2 linked regions of the Notamacropus eugenii genome follow. The protein of the gene in region 1 interacts with the protein of each later gene in a biochemical or structural test. Links are inferred from orthologs where the notes say so. Each region holds a gene or a part of one and is shown on either strand. Other genes may lie near its edges.

Evidence for each region.
Region 2: of the proteins of SERPINF2 (region 1) and neutrophil elastase-like, one has a biochemical effect on the other in vitro, tested with the Homo sapiens proteins (2 studies listed by BioGRID). The link is inferred for Notamacropus eugenii from reciprocal best matches to the Homo sapiens genes SERPINF2 and ELANE.

The regions. Positions count from the first base shown.
Region 1 is NC_092873.1:39,759,197-39,766,352, forward strand, and holds the start of SERPINF2 (alpha-2-antiplasmin), read left to right. Parts: upstream 1-4,138; coding exon 4,139-4,164; intron 4,165-5,032; coding exon of another isoform or gene 5,033-5,353; exon of another isoform or gene 5,354-6,533; intron 6,534-7,156. Other genes in the region: WDR81 (WD repeat-containing protein 81), read left to right, coding at 156-346, 560-750, 1,235-1,400, 1,491-1,656, 2,266-2,961, 3,558-3,703, 3,985-4,164, 5,033-5,353.
Region 2 is NC_092875.1:60,987,500-60,995,484, reverse strand, and holds the start of neutrophil elastase-like, read right to left. Parts: upstream 3,061-7,985; 5' UTR 3,016-3,060; coding exon 2,919-3,015; exon of another isoform or gene 2,746-2,918; intron 2,509-2,745; exon of another isoform or gene 2,437-2,508; coding exon of another isoform or gene 2,370-2,436; intron 1-2,369. UniProt on the Homo sapiens protein: Serine protease that modifies the functions of natural killer cells, monocytes and granulocytes. Inhibits C5a-dependent neutrophil enzyme release and chemotaxis. Promotes cleavage of GSDMB, thereby inhibiting pyroptosis. Promotes blood coagulation.

The DNA of each region.
Region 1 (7,156 bases):
CCATGTGATGTGTCCAAGGGGCAGGTACCACATATCTCCTGTGTTCTCTGAGGCCCTTCCAGGGCTGTAATTCCGTGATTCTGTCTGAGCACTGAGGTACTCATTTCCTCCCTCACTTCTGAGAGCAGTTATGGTCCGTCCTTTTCCTCTCCTAGGCTCCACGAGGCAGCAGTTTATGGGAAGCATCAGCAACTCAAGCCCCTTGAACTCGGGCAACATCTATCAGAAGCGTCCGGTGCTGGGGGATGTGGTGTCTGCCCCTGTCCTGGGCTGCCTCATGCATGTGGCCTGCCTCTATGGGGAGCCCGTCCTCACCTACCAGTATCTTCCCTATATCAGCTACCTGGTCAGTGCCTTGGTCCTGAGCTTTCCCACACATCCCTGGGGCCTCATTTAACTGGGACAGGGCTGGGGCTGTGAGATGGCACCAGATGGGGGTGGGGTGGGAAGATGAACAGAGCTTCTTTCTCAGGGCCCATGAGCAGGCAGAGGTCTTTGGGACCATCTCTCTGGGCAGAGTTCAGAGTGACTTAGCCTCTTTTCCCTTCCTTGGTCCAAGGTGGCTCCTGGAATGGGGGGAAGTCCCAGCCGCCTAAATAGCCGGAAGGAGGCAGGGCTACTGGCAGCCGTCACCCTGACACAGAAGATCATTGTGTATCTCTGTGACACCACACTCATGGACATCCTGCCCCGCATCAGCCACGAGGTCCTCCTGCCTGTGCTCAACTCCCTGACCTCCCTCATCACAGGGTAGGCCAATCCCTCCAAGGGGCAGCCTGGGGACACAGCCAGAGAGGGGCTTTGAGCTGAGCCCACTGGGCCTCATTCTAGCCCTGCTTTTGCAGCTAACTAGCTGTGTGAGCTTCAGGAAATCACATCCCCTCTGTGGGTCTCAGTTTCATCTTTAAAATGAGGGGATTGAATTGGGTCCTTTTTGGGTCTTGAACCTTTTTTGGTGAGGCCTTGGGACCCCCTCCTCAGAACATTTTTAAATGTGTAAGATAAAGTTCACAGATTTAGAAAGGAAACCAAAGTTTTAGTGGAAATAAAGATGTAATTTTTTTCCCATCCATGTTCGTGGACCCCTGGATTCACGGCCCCTCCAAGGGGAGTCTGAGAGACCGTGACCTGGATTAGTTCTGCTTCTCTCCCTAATGCTCCCCAGGGCCCCAGGGAGGGTCAGGATTGGGCAGTAGGGAAGAGACAGAGCACAGTCTAAACGTGTTGCCTTCAGGTTCCCTGGGGGGGCCCAGGCCCGGACCGTTTTGTGCTTGAAGACCATTAGCCTGATCGCTCTGATCTGCCTGCGCATTGGGCAGGAGATGGTCCAGCAGCACCTCAGTGAGACAGTAGCCACCTTCTTCCAGGTGTTCTCCCTGGTGCACGAGCTTCAGTGCCAGGTGGGTGTGGTAGGGTGGCATGGAGGGTATGGGGCTGACCCTGCCAGGCCAGTGAAGAGGCACAAGCCTGGGCTTGTCTTTTTCTGCTAGGCACTGAGGCCAGAGACTCCAAGTCTGAGTGAGGGCCGTGTACTGGAGGTACCCTTCTTGGATGGGCAGCGGCGGGCTGTCGACCTGGCCTTGCTGGATGAGCTTCAGAAGGTGTTCACTCTCGAGATGGCTTACATGACCTACGTGCCCTTCTCCTGCCTGCTGGGTAGGAGCCACCCCGCTCAACCTCCCTGGACCCAAGCCTTCCCACCTCATCCCTTTGCTCCTTGTTCGCCCTCCCTCCCCTTGACCCCATCTTTGTTTTCCTCTCTGTTCCTGTGCCTTGTTTCCAGCCTTGTATTCCCTTCTGCTTTCTTGGAGGACATGCCCATGATGCTTCCTCCAGGCTCCCCTTTCTCATTTTAGGCCATGTGGCATCCTAGAGGGTCTTGCCCTGCAAAGGGAAAAGAACAGTGGACTGTGATATGCCTTTGACAAGTGGTGTGACCTTGGGCAAGTCACTTCCACTCTGGGGATTTGGTCTCCCTGCCAGTCAAATGAGGGGTTGGACTTGGTTGTCTTTAAGGTTGCTTCTAGTCTCCATCGCTGGATTCCTGTCCCTAGGGTCTGGCCCATTAACTGTCCCGAGGGGCTCTGCTGTCAGTGTCTCAAGGGTGCCAAATGTTAAGTGCCCCCCTTCTGGGCTCGGGAGGGCAGTTCCACAGCCTGAAGCGCTATCAGTGTTGTCCACCAATCCCTTCTTTGTTTGGACTTTGGGGCCTTGGCAGGGACAGCCTTCCTTCTCTGGGCCTGAGCTCTTCCCACCCATGTCTAGGCGATGTCATCCAGAAGATCGTCCCCAACCATGTTCTCGTGGGACAGCTGGCAGGGCAGTATTTGGAGAGTGCCAGCCCGGTGGGGCAGGACCCTATGAACTTGGCACCCATGCCTAGTACCTCAGCAGAGCAGGACCCTCAAGGCAGGGGAGTGAACCATGATGACGGCAACTCGGGCACTTTTGGGAGCGTGCTGGTCGGGAACCGTATCCAGATTCCTGTAGACACCCAGCCTGAGAGTCCAGGTCCCCTGGGCCCCAGCTCAGGAGTGTCTGGCTGTCTCGGGGGCCTCTGCGAGATGGGTGGGGAGGAGAATTCACTGAAGCGGGATCTGCCTCGATGTCCCCATGGATTGAGTGGGAACTGGTTGGCCTACTGGCAGTATGAGATTGGTGTCAGCCAACATGATGCCCACTTCCACTTCCACCAAATCAGGCTGCAGAGCTTTCTGGGCCACTCAGGGGCTGTGAAATGTGTGGCCCCACTGAGCAGTGAGGACTTCTTCCTGAGCGGTAGCAAAGACAGGACCGTCCGGCTTTGGCCACTCTACAACTGTGGCGATGGCACCAGTGAGACAGCGCCTCGCCTCATCTATACCCACCATCGCAAGAGCATCTTCCACGTCAGCCAGTTGGAGGCATCTCAGCAGGTCGTGAGCTGTGATGGCACCGTCCACGTCTGGGACCCGTTCACAGGTGAGGCCTCCCCTGTGCTATGTGATGGGGAGGCAGGCCACGCGGGCCAGGACCTAGGGATAAGATGAGAGCCTGGCCTGACAGAGGAGAAAACGGTTTACCTTCATGCTGCTTCTCTCCAGCCCACTGCTGACCTCTCGTGACTGGGCTGCAGAGAAGATTAATTTGGAGAAGGAGGTGGGGGGAGAGAGAGATGGTTATGGGGTGAGGGGAGGAAAAGGGAAGTGGGTTAGCCTGTGGGCTTAGTAGTAGGAAGTGTGGGGCTAGGTGTTGGCTATGGGTGGGAGAGGGATGGGGGTGGGCATGGGTCAGGGGTGTAGATGAAGTAGGGATAGGGAACAGGCTTGGGCCAGGCCTGAGGGGGGTAAGAGAATCAGGAGGCAGTGTGCCTGTTTAGGGGAGGGGTCTAAAGCTCCTAGGCAGGATCTTGACCTTGGGAAGTATCTTTAGCAGGCCCTGAAAGCTATCCATGGGGAGTAACAGGAAGCTATAGTGGACCCCTGGGTTGGGTGGTCAGAGCTTCTCTTGTAACGTCAGACAGAGGGCTTTGACCATTCCCTCCTGGACCCCCTGACTTGGTGCTTTTACCCTCACAGGGAAGACTGTGCGGATAGTGGAGCCCTGGGATAATCGGGTGCCTTGGACTGCGGTGGCTGTCATGCCTGCCCCCCACACCAGCATCACCCTGGCTAGTGCGGATTCCACCCTGCGTTTTGTGGACTGTCGGAAGCCTGGACTGCAGGTGTGTGCCAGGGTGCAGGAATGAAATGGGAAACAGTCCCTGTTTTGTGCTTGTAGTTGGAGGGACCCACAGAGAGCCAGTCAGAGACAGCTCAGGAAACACTGGAGCTCCTACCCAAGGAAGACAAGGCCTTGTTAAATGGATGAGAAACCTCTGAGGGAATGGGGTGGTAGAGGAAAAGCAGGGCCCCGAGGGTTCTTTGGGAGTGAAACATGGAGAGGGCCATGGGAAGGCCCAGAGGTGTCCAGGCCATCTCTCAGTCCTTGTCTCTGGTCCTATAGCACGAGTTCCGTCTAGGGGGTGGCTTGAATGCTGGCCTTGTCCGATCATTGGCCGTTAGCCCCAGTGGCCGAAGTGTCGTAGCAGGCTTCTCCTCGGGCTTCATGGTACTCTTGGACACCAGGACTGGACTTGTCCTTCGAGGGTGGCCGGCTCATGAGGGTGACATCCTGCAGATCAAGGTAAGGTCTCCCTCCTTCCTTCCCTCTCACAGATTGGGCGCAGCCTGGACATCTTATGCCTGCAGCTCTGGCTATTTGGCCAGAAGGTAGATGGGACAGACCTGAGCTGGCTTCCTTCTTACCCACCCCCACCCCTGTCTCCGTTTCTTGGAGTTCAAGACCCTGAGAGTTGACTGAGACTGAGCCAATGTCCCCTCGCATTTTGCTGTTGCACTTCCAGCTTCAGCATCCCTCATATCTTTGGGACTTGACAGTGGGACCCTCCATGTGGCAGGGGCTCTGGGGGGGAGGGAGAGAAGAGGTGTCACTTCTGCCCCCCTGGGGCCCTGTTCTAATGAGTAACCCTTGTCCATATTTGCCTGGCCCCAAGGGGCAGGGGTCAGTCTCTCTGTCCTTGACCTAGTTGAGGTTCAGTAAAGATCAGGGAGGCCTGTTTACTGCCCCCGCATGGCTGAGCAGAGTCCAGACTCTTCTCCTCCCCCTGACTCTCCCTTGGTGACCAGGGGGAGTGGGGGTGGTGCAGGCCCATGAGGGAGGACCCCCAACTCCTGTCTTCATGCCCAGCTCTAGAGTGCTGCTGAGGAGGAAGCCCCTGGGGGAGTCAGGTATGAGGGAATACCCTTTCTCTACCCTCATGATACACAGTTTGCTGAGCTCAGAAAAGGGCCACTCAGCCAAGAGTCTCTGAGCATCCTCAGGCTTCTGTGGCAGTCCTAGGGACTACCAGGAACAGTGATGATGATCCCATCAAATCTGTCCCTGCAGAATGGATTCTGAGGAGTAGTTTTGTGGCTCAGCTTGTGAGAGGAAGGGGAACCCCCCTCAGTTCCTGGCTAATTGCTATGGCCTCCCTCTCTCTCTGGGGCAGGCTGTGGAAGGGGGCACCCTGATCAGCTCATCCTCAGACCACTCCCTGACCATCTGGAAAGAACTGGAACAGAAGCCCACCCACCACTACAAGTCCCCCTCAGATCCCATTCACACGTTCGACCTCTATGGCAGCGAGGTGGTGACGGGCACCGTGGCCAACAAGATTGGTGTCTGCTCCTTGACAGAGCCCCCCTCCCAGGCCACCACCAAGCTCAGCTCAGAGAACTTCCGGGGGACACTCACTAGCCTGGCCGTGTTACCTACCAAGCGTCACCTTTTACTGGGCTCAGACAACGGGGCTGTCCGACTCCTGGCATAGACGAGGGACATAGCAGACACAGGCTGAGGAATGTGCTCAGGGTCAGCACACATGGCCCCAGATTCCTTTCTCCCAGTTTGGTGACTTCGCCCATCTGTTTCAAAACTCATCTGCAAGCATGGTGTTTGGGCTTCCAAGGCATGTCCCAGTTGGGCGAAGGGCCCTAGGGCTCCATACCATCTGTGCCTAACACCAAAGAGGGAAACCCCAGATTCCAAAGCCCAAGACTTATCCCCTCATGCACCCCTACTAAACCTCCTGAAGCCCTGCCCTGGGCCTGTTGCCATATGGATGATCCCATCCTGGACTTAAACGCTCTAGGCCATTGGTCTACTGGGAATAGAGGAGACCAGGGAGCCTCAGAGAAGCCTTGACTTGTGCCTTGGGTGTTGGCTGGCTGACTTTCCTGGCCCCCTCTCCCACCCTGAGGCTGAGTTTGGAGGACACAGAGGCTACTCTTTAGCTGTATCTGCCACTACAAGGCTTTGGCTACCTCCTGGTGAGGTTGGTGCTGCAGATGGGGTACCCCTCTGCTCCTGAAGGAGAGGGGTGGTGATGGCCCTAGCAGATCATGACTCCTGTGTCTTCACCCCTTCCCTCACTGGGAAAGGTTTCTGCCGCTCTGTGTACCCCAGGAGGAAAGGCAGAGTAGGGGGTTAAGGAGTGAGGAGGATGTCAGTGGTGCTGGTACTGACCACTGACCACTCCTGAGGGCTTCAGGCCATAGGTAGGGTCTGGCCTGGGGCAGGCTCAGGATGACAGTTGTTCTGTCCCAGAGCCTCCATTCTGTCCCTTTCCTATCTGGTTTAGGACCAATATAGGGGAAGAGAAAAGACATGAGGTAAGAGCAGAGTGGAGCCAGGCTTGGCTTTGCACATAGCTGGTGGATCCTTCTATTCAACTCCCATCCCCAAAGGGGCTAGATGGGAAATCCCTCTCCTCCCGTCTCCCCCGAGCATTTTGTGCCTTGAGCTGGGGCGGCAGCTTCTGAAAACCCTTGCCCCACAGGACCCTGTGTCAGACTGGGGAAAAGGTTCCCTTAGGTCCCAGAAATATCTCATGGGGCAGCATTCCCAGAACCTGGGGTGGGGGAGCAGGGATGCCTCTTGATCCCAGCCTCCCATCCACTATTTGCAATAGATGTAAATATGACAATAAACACTTTGGAAGAGCCATGAAATGGAGTAAGGCTGTTGATATGGGGTCTGGGGGTATAGTAGGAGGGGCAGGAAGGAAGCAGGCCCGTCTGTATCAGATGCAAATAGCCAGCTTCACAAGGAAACTACTTACCTTACTGAGTTCAGCCTCTATAAGAAAAGGATGGGGTACCCTTCCTTAAGGAACTGATGCTGTGTGGCCGTTTTAGATGAGGGACTTCCAGCAGGTGAGTGGAGACCCCGACCTCCCAAGCAGTCAAGTGGTGATGGTGCCAGGTGCTGTGGGAGCCATTGGGTCCCAGAGCTCCACCCATAAAGGAAGGTGAACCTCACCCACCCACTGAATGGGATTAAATCACTTGGGTTCACCCAGCAAGGTCCAGGCTGTATGCTCAATATTGAGCCGATAGTAAATCCTCAAAATATTAATGTGGACTGACAAGTTAGAAAATCCAGTGACTAAGCTGAAAGAAATGAAGATGTGTGTGTTACTGGATTTTCCTAGGAATGGAGTCTGTGCCCGTTGGAGGTGGGAGGAGGGAGAGGAGAAGTCTCAGACTTGTTAATTAACAAGCATGCATTGAGCACAGCATGTGCCCAGCACTATGCTAAGTTCTGGGGGTGCCCTCCACAAGCACATGTTCTA
Region 2 (7,985 bases), on another chromosome or scaffold:
CTCACAAGAGAGAACTAGATGCTGACATAAAAACAAATAGGAATATTTCAGGGCAGTAACTGTTCCAACTTGGAATTTGGGTCCCCAGTCTAGATTTTAGATTTAAAAGTATTTAAAGAAAGGGTGAATATGATCTTGTGATCTAAAATTCCATGTGGTCTAACAGTCAGCCCAAGAGGGATGGAAAGTTCTCAAGAATGAAATGCTGACCACTCAGAAAGAGAAGCCTTCCAGTGATGAGTTTAGACAAAAGCGATTTATCTAAAAAGAATAATTTGACTGCAGAGGGAGCTCATTAAACAGCTGGGATTTTTAAAAGACACGTGCAGAATATAGAAGCAATGGCAGCAAACAGATTTATAGAAACAGAGGAGTCATCCTGTAAGGACAGGTCAGGAATACTGATTCTCAGAATGAGCTGAGGTTGGTGAGGGATGCTTCGGATGGTGAAAAGATTGTTTTAAAGCTGTAATAATAGCTCCTTATTAAATATAGCTCTTTAAGGTTTGCAAAACACTTTACCTATATAATCTAGCTTCAGCCTCATGATATCCTTAGTGGGGTAGGTGCTACTATGATACTCACTTGGCAGCTTAGGAAATTGATGCAGACAGAGTTTAAGTGACTTGCCCAAGGTTACACAACTAGCAAGTGGCTGAGACTTGAACTCAAGTCTTCTTGATTCTGGGCCCAGCACCTACCTACTGTACCCCCTTGTTGTGGGAAATTGCAACCTCAAGGTCATATGTGGCCCTCTGGGTCCTCAAGTGCAGCCCTTTGACAGAATTCAAACTTCACAGAACAAATCCCCTTAATAAAAGGATTTATTTCATAAAATTTGGACTCAGTCTAAAGGCTGCACCCGAGGACCTAGAGAACCACATGTACCCTCCAGGTTGCAGGTTCTCCACCTCTGATATAGACCTAGTGTCCATTATATACATGAATCCCTCATGCAACTTCTGTTTGAATACGTCCAGTATTGGGGATCTCACCCCCACTGGGGACACCCTGTCCTACTTGATTTGGAAGGGACCACACTTAGCCTAGCCCCATCTTCAGAAGTCAACTGAATATCAACTAAGATATTCCTTGTACTTTGAAAGTACTTAAGGCACTATGTAAACACCAGCTATTGTTATTATTATCATAATATGTTGTATGTTTTGGGCTTCCTTGCACCTCACGATACTGTGCTTTATGCTCCAAGGTCTTTTCTTGATTGAAGATTCTATGTTTCCATTCTAACACACCGTACAGCTCTGATTTCTTTGTTCTAAGGATCTTTCCTGTACCCTGAGTTCTAAGGCTCTTCCACCTTTGACGTTCTATGCTTCTGGCTCAAAAATTCCATGTTCTGTGTTCTAAGACCCCTTCCAGCTTTGAGGTTTCTCTATTTGAGCTTCTAAGGGCCCTTTCATCTCTAGCATTCTATGTTCTAAATTTTCTTCTTTCCTCTTTCCTAAGGTCCCTTCTTCTATGTCTGCTATTCCACATTCTGTCTCCTTTCCCATTTTAAAAGTCTATGCTTCATGTTTCTTATTCTAGCAGTTCCTCAATCTCTAACATAGGGTATTTCAATAGACTCGTCTTAGACTTTTGAAACACCCTGGCTTCTACATTCTAATGTCCCTTCTAGTTCTAACATTCTAGGTTCTAGGCTCCAAGATGCTTCCTGCTTTGATATTCTGTGTTCTATGTTCACCACTGCCTTCCTGTTCTGAAATGCCATGTTCCTATCTTCTGATATTCCTTTCATTCTAACCTTCCAGGTTTGAAGGTTCTTCTTGTCTCACATTTTGTGCTTTATATTCTAAGGTTCCTCTCAGCCCTGACCTACTATTTTCTGTTCTCTGAGGTCCCTTCCATTTCCAGCATTCTAGGTTCTGTGTTATCAGACTTCTTCTAGCTCTGACAGTCTGTATTCTATACACCTCCCAGTTCTAATATTCTATATTTTATGTCCTGAGCTCCTTAGTCCAGTAGCTAGCTCATAGTAGGTATTTAATAAATGTTCCATCATCTATCTGCCTACCTACCTAGTTATCCATGCATTCATTCATCCATCCATCCATCCATCCCTCTCTCTCTCTCTCTTTCTGTCTTCTAACTCTACCATTCCATGTTCTAAAGCATCTGCTAGCTCTGTGATCTATAACTAATCCCCCTCTAAGAAGTACCTCAAGTGATAATATTTGTATGAATGAATGAATGACTGTTCCTCCTTGCCCTAGAAGAAGAACCCTAAGGTTGAAATTTCCCTGTGTCTTCTGCTGTCTCTCACCCAGCACCCATAACCTTTATCTCTCCAGTGCTAGACAGACAGGCAGACAGGTAGGCAGGTGGACAAACAGGCAGGCAAGACTTACTCCCGTGGATGAAGAGCAGCAGCAGGAGGAGGAGAGTGCCGTGAAGGGGGGACGCCATGCTCAACATAGGCAGGGAGACGTCTGCAGCAGCCTTGGGGTCTTTGTGGGGCCTCTTTCCCAATCTCTCCACTTATAGTTCCTGATGGAGAGTTCGTTGTAATTACCCCACAGGCCCCAGGGGCTGGTTGGGGGCTGTTACTTCCCCTATTTTCCCCTATGGGGGCAGGAGAAAGAGACCCAGGACCCTGAGGAATGGGGCAATAACGAGATGTGGGATATAGGAACCTCCGCAGCAGTGGCAGCCTTCTATCTACCCTCCTACAACAGGTCAGAAAGAGAGAGGGCAGAAGAGAAGGATGAATCAGCTGGAGCAGACCTGGGAGTTGTAATTTCAGCTCCAAGAGGCTTATGATCTCAAAAGATCATCACTTGGAGGCCTCCTCAGGATCCTCAAATCTCAGCACTCCAAGTGACTTCAGCGGTGAGACCATCTCCCAGCCTGATCCAGACTGTCCTATCTAATATCCCCAGAGGTCATTCAACTCTTACCAGGGAACTCATGGCCCCAGCAGCCCCAGGGCCCCTCGGGAGCTGGCAGGAAGTCAAAGTCCAGTTCCCCTTCCAAACTCCTCCAAAGATGCTCCATTTCCAACTGTCTCTGTCAGTGATGCAAGAGCAAACGGTGGCTGGGGGTGGGGGGTGTTAGGGAAGGGGGAATTGGGGAAGGAAGGGGGAGGCAATCTTGCCAAGTTTTCAGCCTGACCGGAAGGGGTCAGGCCTATTGCAGGAAGCAGCCTGACTGCTCATTTGTCTAGGCTGGGCCAATTCAGCTTGGCTTCATGGGCCCACACAATTATCTCCAGGATACCAGGATTTCCAAATGTCATTTCTATTTAGCATTGGGATACAGCTAGACCCCCATGTTCACAGATTCAAAGACACAAAAACACGCACACAGAGGCTCACATACAGAGACACATGTAGATTTATGCTTGCATAAACATATGGAGGTATGCTCATTCTCAGACATGCACATGTTCACTCAAGGTTAGACACACAGGTACACACAAATCTACCCAATTATGTATTTAGATAAGCATTGTCCCATGCAAGGAAGTAGCCACAAACTCACAGAGAGCAGTTTCTCTGAAAACAATCTGAGGATCTTAGCAGACCTCAAGCCACAGCACTGGACTGCAAGTGGACTCCAGTAGGAGTGAACAAGGTGACATGGTAGCCCAAAAGCTGGTGCCATTTTGAACTGTAGTAAGAGAAGCATAGCCTGCCCCCAAAGTTACTAAACTGTGCATGTCCTTTGACCCAGTGATGTACTGCTGGGCCTGTACTCTAAAAGATCAAAGAAAGGGGAAAAGGATTCATATGTATCAAAATATTTATAGAAGCTCTTTTCTGGCAAAGAGCAGGAAACTAAAGGGGTCTTGGAGTTATTTACCATTTGGGGAGTGTTTGTACAATTTATGCTGTATGACTATAATGGAAGATGATTCCACCGAAATAAAAGATGAGGCAGAGGGTTTCAGAGAAGCCTGGGAATTCATATGGACAGATGCAGAGGGAACTGAGCATAACCAGGAGAACCACTGATACTCTAACATCAACAATGTAAAAACAGCAACTCTGAAAGGCCTAAGAATTCTTATCAACAACTTTGATGGACCTAGCTCTTCTCAGAAATGCAAGGATCAAAGAATAACTCCAAAAGACTCATGATGGAATATGATATCCACATCTAGAGAAAGAACCATGGAGTCGGAATGCAGGTGGAAGCAGACTATTTGACCTCTCTCTCTTTTTTTTGTTTTGTTTTCTCTTTCTCATGATTCCTCCTAATTCTTCTTTACAACATGACTAACGTGAAAATTGTTGTTGTGTTTGTCCTTCATTGCCAAAGAAGACCATGCCATCAGAGAAATAATGACGTGACTTTGACTTGACTTTGTTTTGAGTGAAGGAGGGCTGTGCAGGTCACCAACATCACTTCTCCTCCAGAGCCATCTGAATCCAGAGACCTGATATTTCTCAGGATGACTGGAGATGACCCAGGGTACACTGGGAGACTTTGGGTCCTTTAAGAATGTATATGTAGAGTCTATATTAGATTGTACTCTGTCTTGAGGAGGGAGGCAGAGAAAATTTAAAACTCAAAAGTATATGGAAGTAAATGTTGAAAATTAAAAATAAATAAACATATAAATAAAGAGGAAAAAAAGAATTCTGATCAACACCATGATCAACCATAATCCAGAAGACTGATGGATGCTGAAGAATGTGACCCATCTCCTGAAAGAAAGATCATGGACTGAAGACACAGGAGAAGAAACACTTTGGGGGCATGGCCCAGATGGGGATGATTGTTGTTGAGGGTTATTTTCTTCTTCTTCCGGTGAATGGGAGGTAGAGATAGGGAGACCAAAAAAATGCTAGATAAATTTAAAAAAAGAGAAAGAAAAGGCCAGTTCTGGTATCCGGGAAGTGATTGTCTCTCCCTGTCCTGGTCAGACCACATCTGGAGACTATGACTGATGGTGGATACCACATTTTAGGAAGGACACGGATAAACTGATAAAGGTCCAGAGGAAGGTAGGCAGGTTAGTGAAGAGCCTTAACATGGCGCCAGATGAGGACCAGTTGAAGGAAGTGGAGTCATTTATTCTGAAAAAGGCTAGGGAGTGGGTGGGCATTCTAGTAGGGTCTGCTTGAATTTGAAAGGTCAAGTAGAACAAATGTATTCCCTCTTCCACAGACATGCCCTGTTTTACTTTTCTCCCTGTTTTTATTCTTGATTAAAAGAAGTGACTTAATAGGGGAAAGTGTATATTCAGAAATAAAGGTAATGCAAAATCAAAAGATATCAATAAATTAAAAACATTAACTGGGACATGCTGGAGAAAGAGCAGTCAAATGCCATCTATTTGTGGAGGACATTGGACAAGGGATACAGGAAGTCAGAGGAGGAACTGGCTATGGCCTTCACTGAAATAGGCAAGAAAGGGAACTAATTTGGAGTCAGAAGACCTGAATTTAAATCCTAATTCTGTCACTTGACTTTAGCTGCGTAACTTTGGCCGAGTCCCTTGCCCATTCTGGATCTCAATTTCCTCATCCATAAAATGAGGTATTGGACATGGTAATGTTATGAGAGCCCCTTCAGGTACAGGTTGGACTACTGCTGGATGTCCTTTGAGGTTCCTTCCAGTTCTCTGATTCTGTGTGATTCTGTGATCATAAGATCAGTTTGGTAGCACAGAGAGAATTGGGGCAGGTGGGGGGTGTAGGATTAGTATCATTAGAATCATGAGGTTATTGGTAAATTTTACATTAAAGGAATGACGAGTCCCATTGGACCAGAAGGTGGGCAAGGGGAGAGGTAAGGTTGGCATGTGGATGATATGGAACTGGGCCCAGACCTTGGCCTTTGTGAAGCTCTGGAGATCCCATGTGAATGGAGAGGAGAAAAGTGTGATGGGCTGCATGAGTCCTTGAGGCCTGCAGACCTTCAGAATAATGTCATGTAGGAGCATGTGCAGAGCACTTGGAACTCCCAGTACTGTCTGTAGGGAGAAGGCCAACAGAGCGCTTTACACTTTGTGAAAAACTGTACAGTCACATAGACGCCTCACTGTAGAGTTTCTCAAAAAGTTTAAAATCTTCCCTGAGCCCTCCCTCCACACCCCCTAGACATTATATATAAAATACAATTTTATATTACATAATATATAACGTGTGTGTCTCACTGTAATAAAATCCTAAAAAAATAAAATCCTCCCTTCCTCCCCCAGACATTATATGTAATGTAATAATGTATTATATCACATATACTCATAATATAATATTTATGTGTCTGTCTTACTATTCAGTTTCTTACAAGGTGTAAAACCCTCCCTTAGCTCTCTCCCCTCACTCCCAGACAGTTAGTCCTGGCAGGCCCAAGTGCTCTGTCCAAGCTCCTACCTGACATTGGGGGAATATATAAGGTCAAATAAATGTCCTGAATCCCAACTGATTCTCTCTTTGAAATGGTCTCCATTTACTCAGAAACCTCACCTCCCTGCAGTATCCTTGCTTAGACTGAGAGAGAATGAAGAGACAGAGCTCTGGGTGTCAGAGATAGACTGGGCCTCAGAGATTACAGTCCCATCTCATCATTTTACGGATGCAACTGAGAGATGGGTTTGTCTTGGATTACACAGTGACTCATTTGTCAAAATGGGGTGTGAATCCAGGCAGGTCTCTTGACTCCTAAACAAGGGCTTTTGTGTTGAGGTTTGTTGCCTGCTTGCCTGCCTGTCTGCCTGACTGACCAGAAAAAAGTGGATGGGGCCAGCCTCTGGTTGGAACGAGTTGGGTGGGTAAGGCCAGATCTTGGAATGCTTAGTGGAGATGGATGTTGACTGTCCCCTCCTCTTTGTGAGTCCAAGTACTACATCTTAGAGTATGCTGCTACAGAACCAGAGGGCTCCATCACTCCTAGCCTGGCCCAGACTTGTTCCTGAGGGAAAGGGACCACTGTTCCCATCTCCTCTGGCCACCTGTGACCAGCTTAATGCCTCCAGAACCTTGTCCCCAGTTCCCTGAAGGACTTCAGTGCCTTCCTATGCCCTTGGGAATGCCAAGCAGTCTCCATGGTAAGGGTCTGGATACCTTTGAGTTTACTGAAACCATAGTCTAGGGCTAGATGGGGGAGAGGGCTGTGATCAGAATTGGGCCTGTCCCTCCACCCCCACCCCCTTATACCAGGTTTTCAGGAAGCTTAGATCCTGATACACCCTACGGAGGCTTTGAGGGGGGCAGGCAAATGGCTTTTCAAATAATGACCCCATTGGCTTAGAGGCCATGGAGTGCAACCTCCTCATTTTGCAGAGGAGGAAACTGAGGCACAGAGAACCTGCTTGCCCAGAGTCACATAGCCAGTTAGTGTGGGAGATGGTATTTGAACTTAGGTCTTCCTGACTTGGATGGAGTGTCCTATCCACTGTGTTATTTAGCTGCTGGAAGGTGAGTTGTGGATGTTTCTTTACCTGCTCCCAAGGGGAAGATCTGAGGGGTGGGCAGAGGAATTCATCTGAGGCCCTCAAAGTGTTTGAGGTGGAACATGTCCTCAGGCTCAGATAAAGAACCTGGGCTGACTGAGGTGGAATCATTATCACCAAAAAGGGGAGCATTCTGAAGACTAATAAATAGCCATCATCTTCATCTTCCTAGTGGGCCTTCCCTTACTTTACCCTCCCATAGACACGGCGGATGGGTCAAGTTTTGAGGGGGTTGGTTATAATGATGACTCGCATCTCTATAGAACTTCCAAGGTTTACAAAATGCTTTCCATACATAGTCTTATCAGATCCTCACAACAACCCTGTGAGGTGGGCGCTATCATTACCCACATTTGACAGATGAGAGAAACTGAGACTCAAAGTGGTGTGACTTGCCCAAGGTCATACAAACTACTAGTAAGTGTCACAGGTGAGATTTGAACCCAGGTCTTTCCTGACTCCAAGCTCAGCTCTTTAGTGACCACACCCTGCCTTGTGAAAGTTGAAGCCTCTGTGTACATCCTCCACCTCTCGGGTCTCTCATCCCAGGAGTAGAGGATGGTGG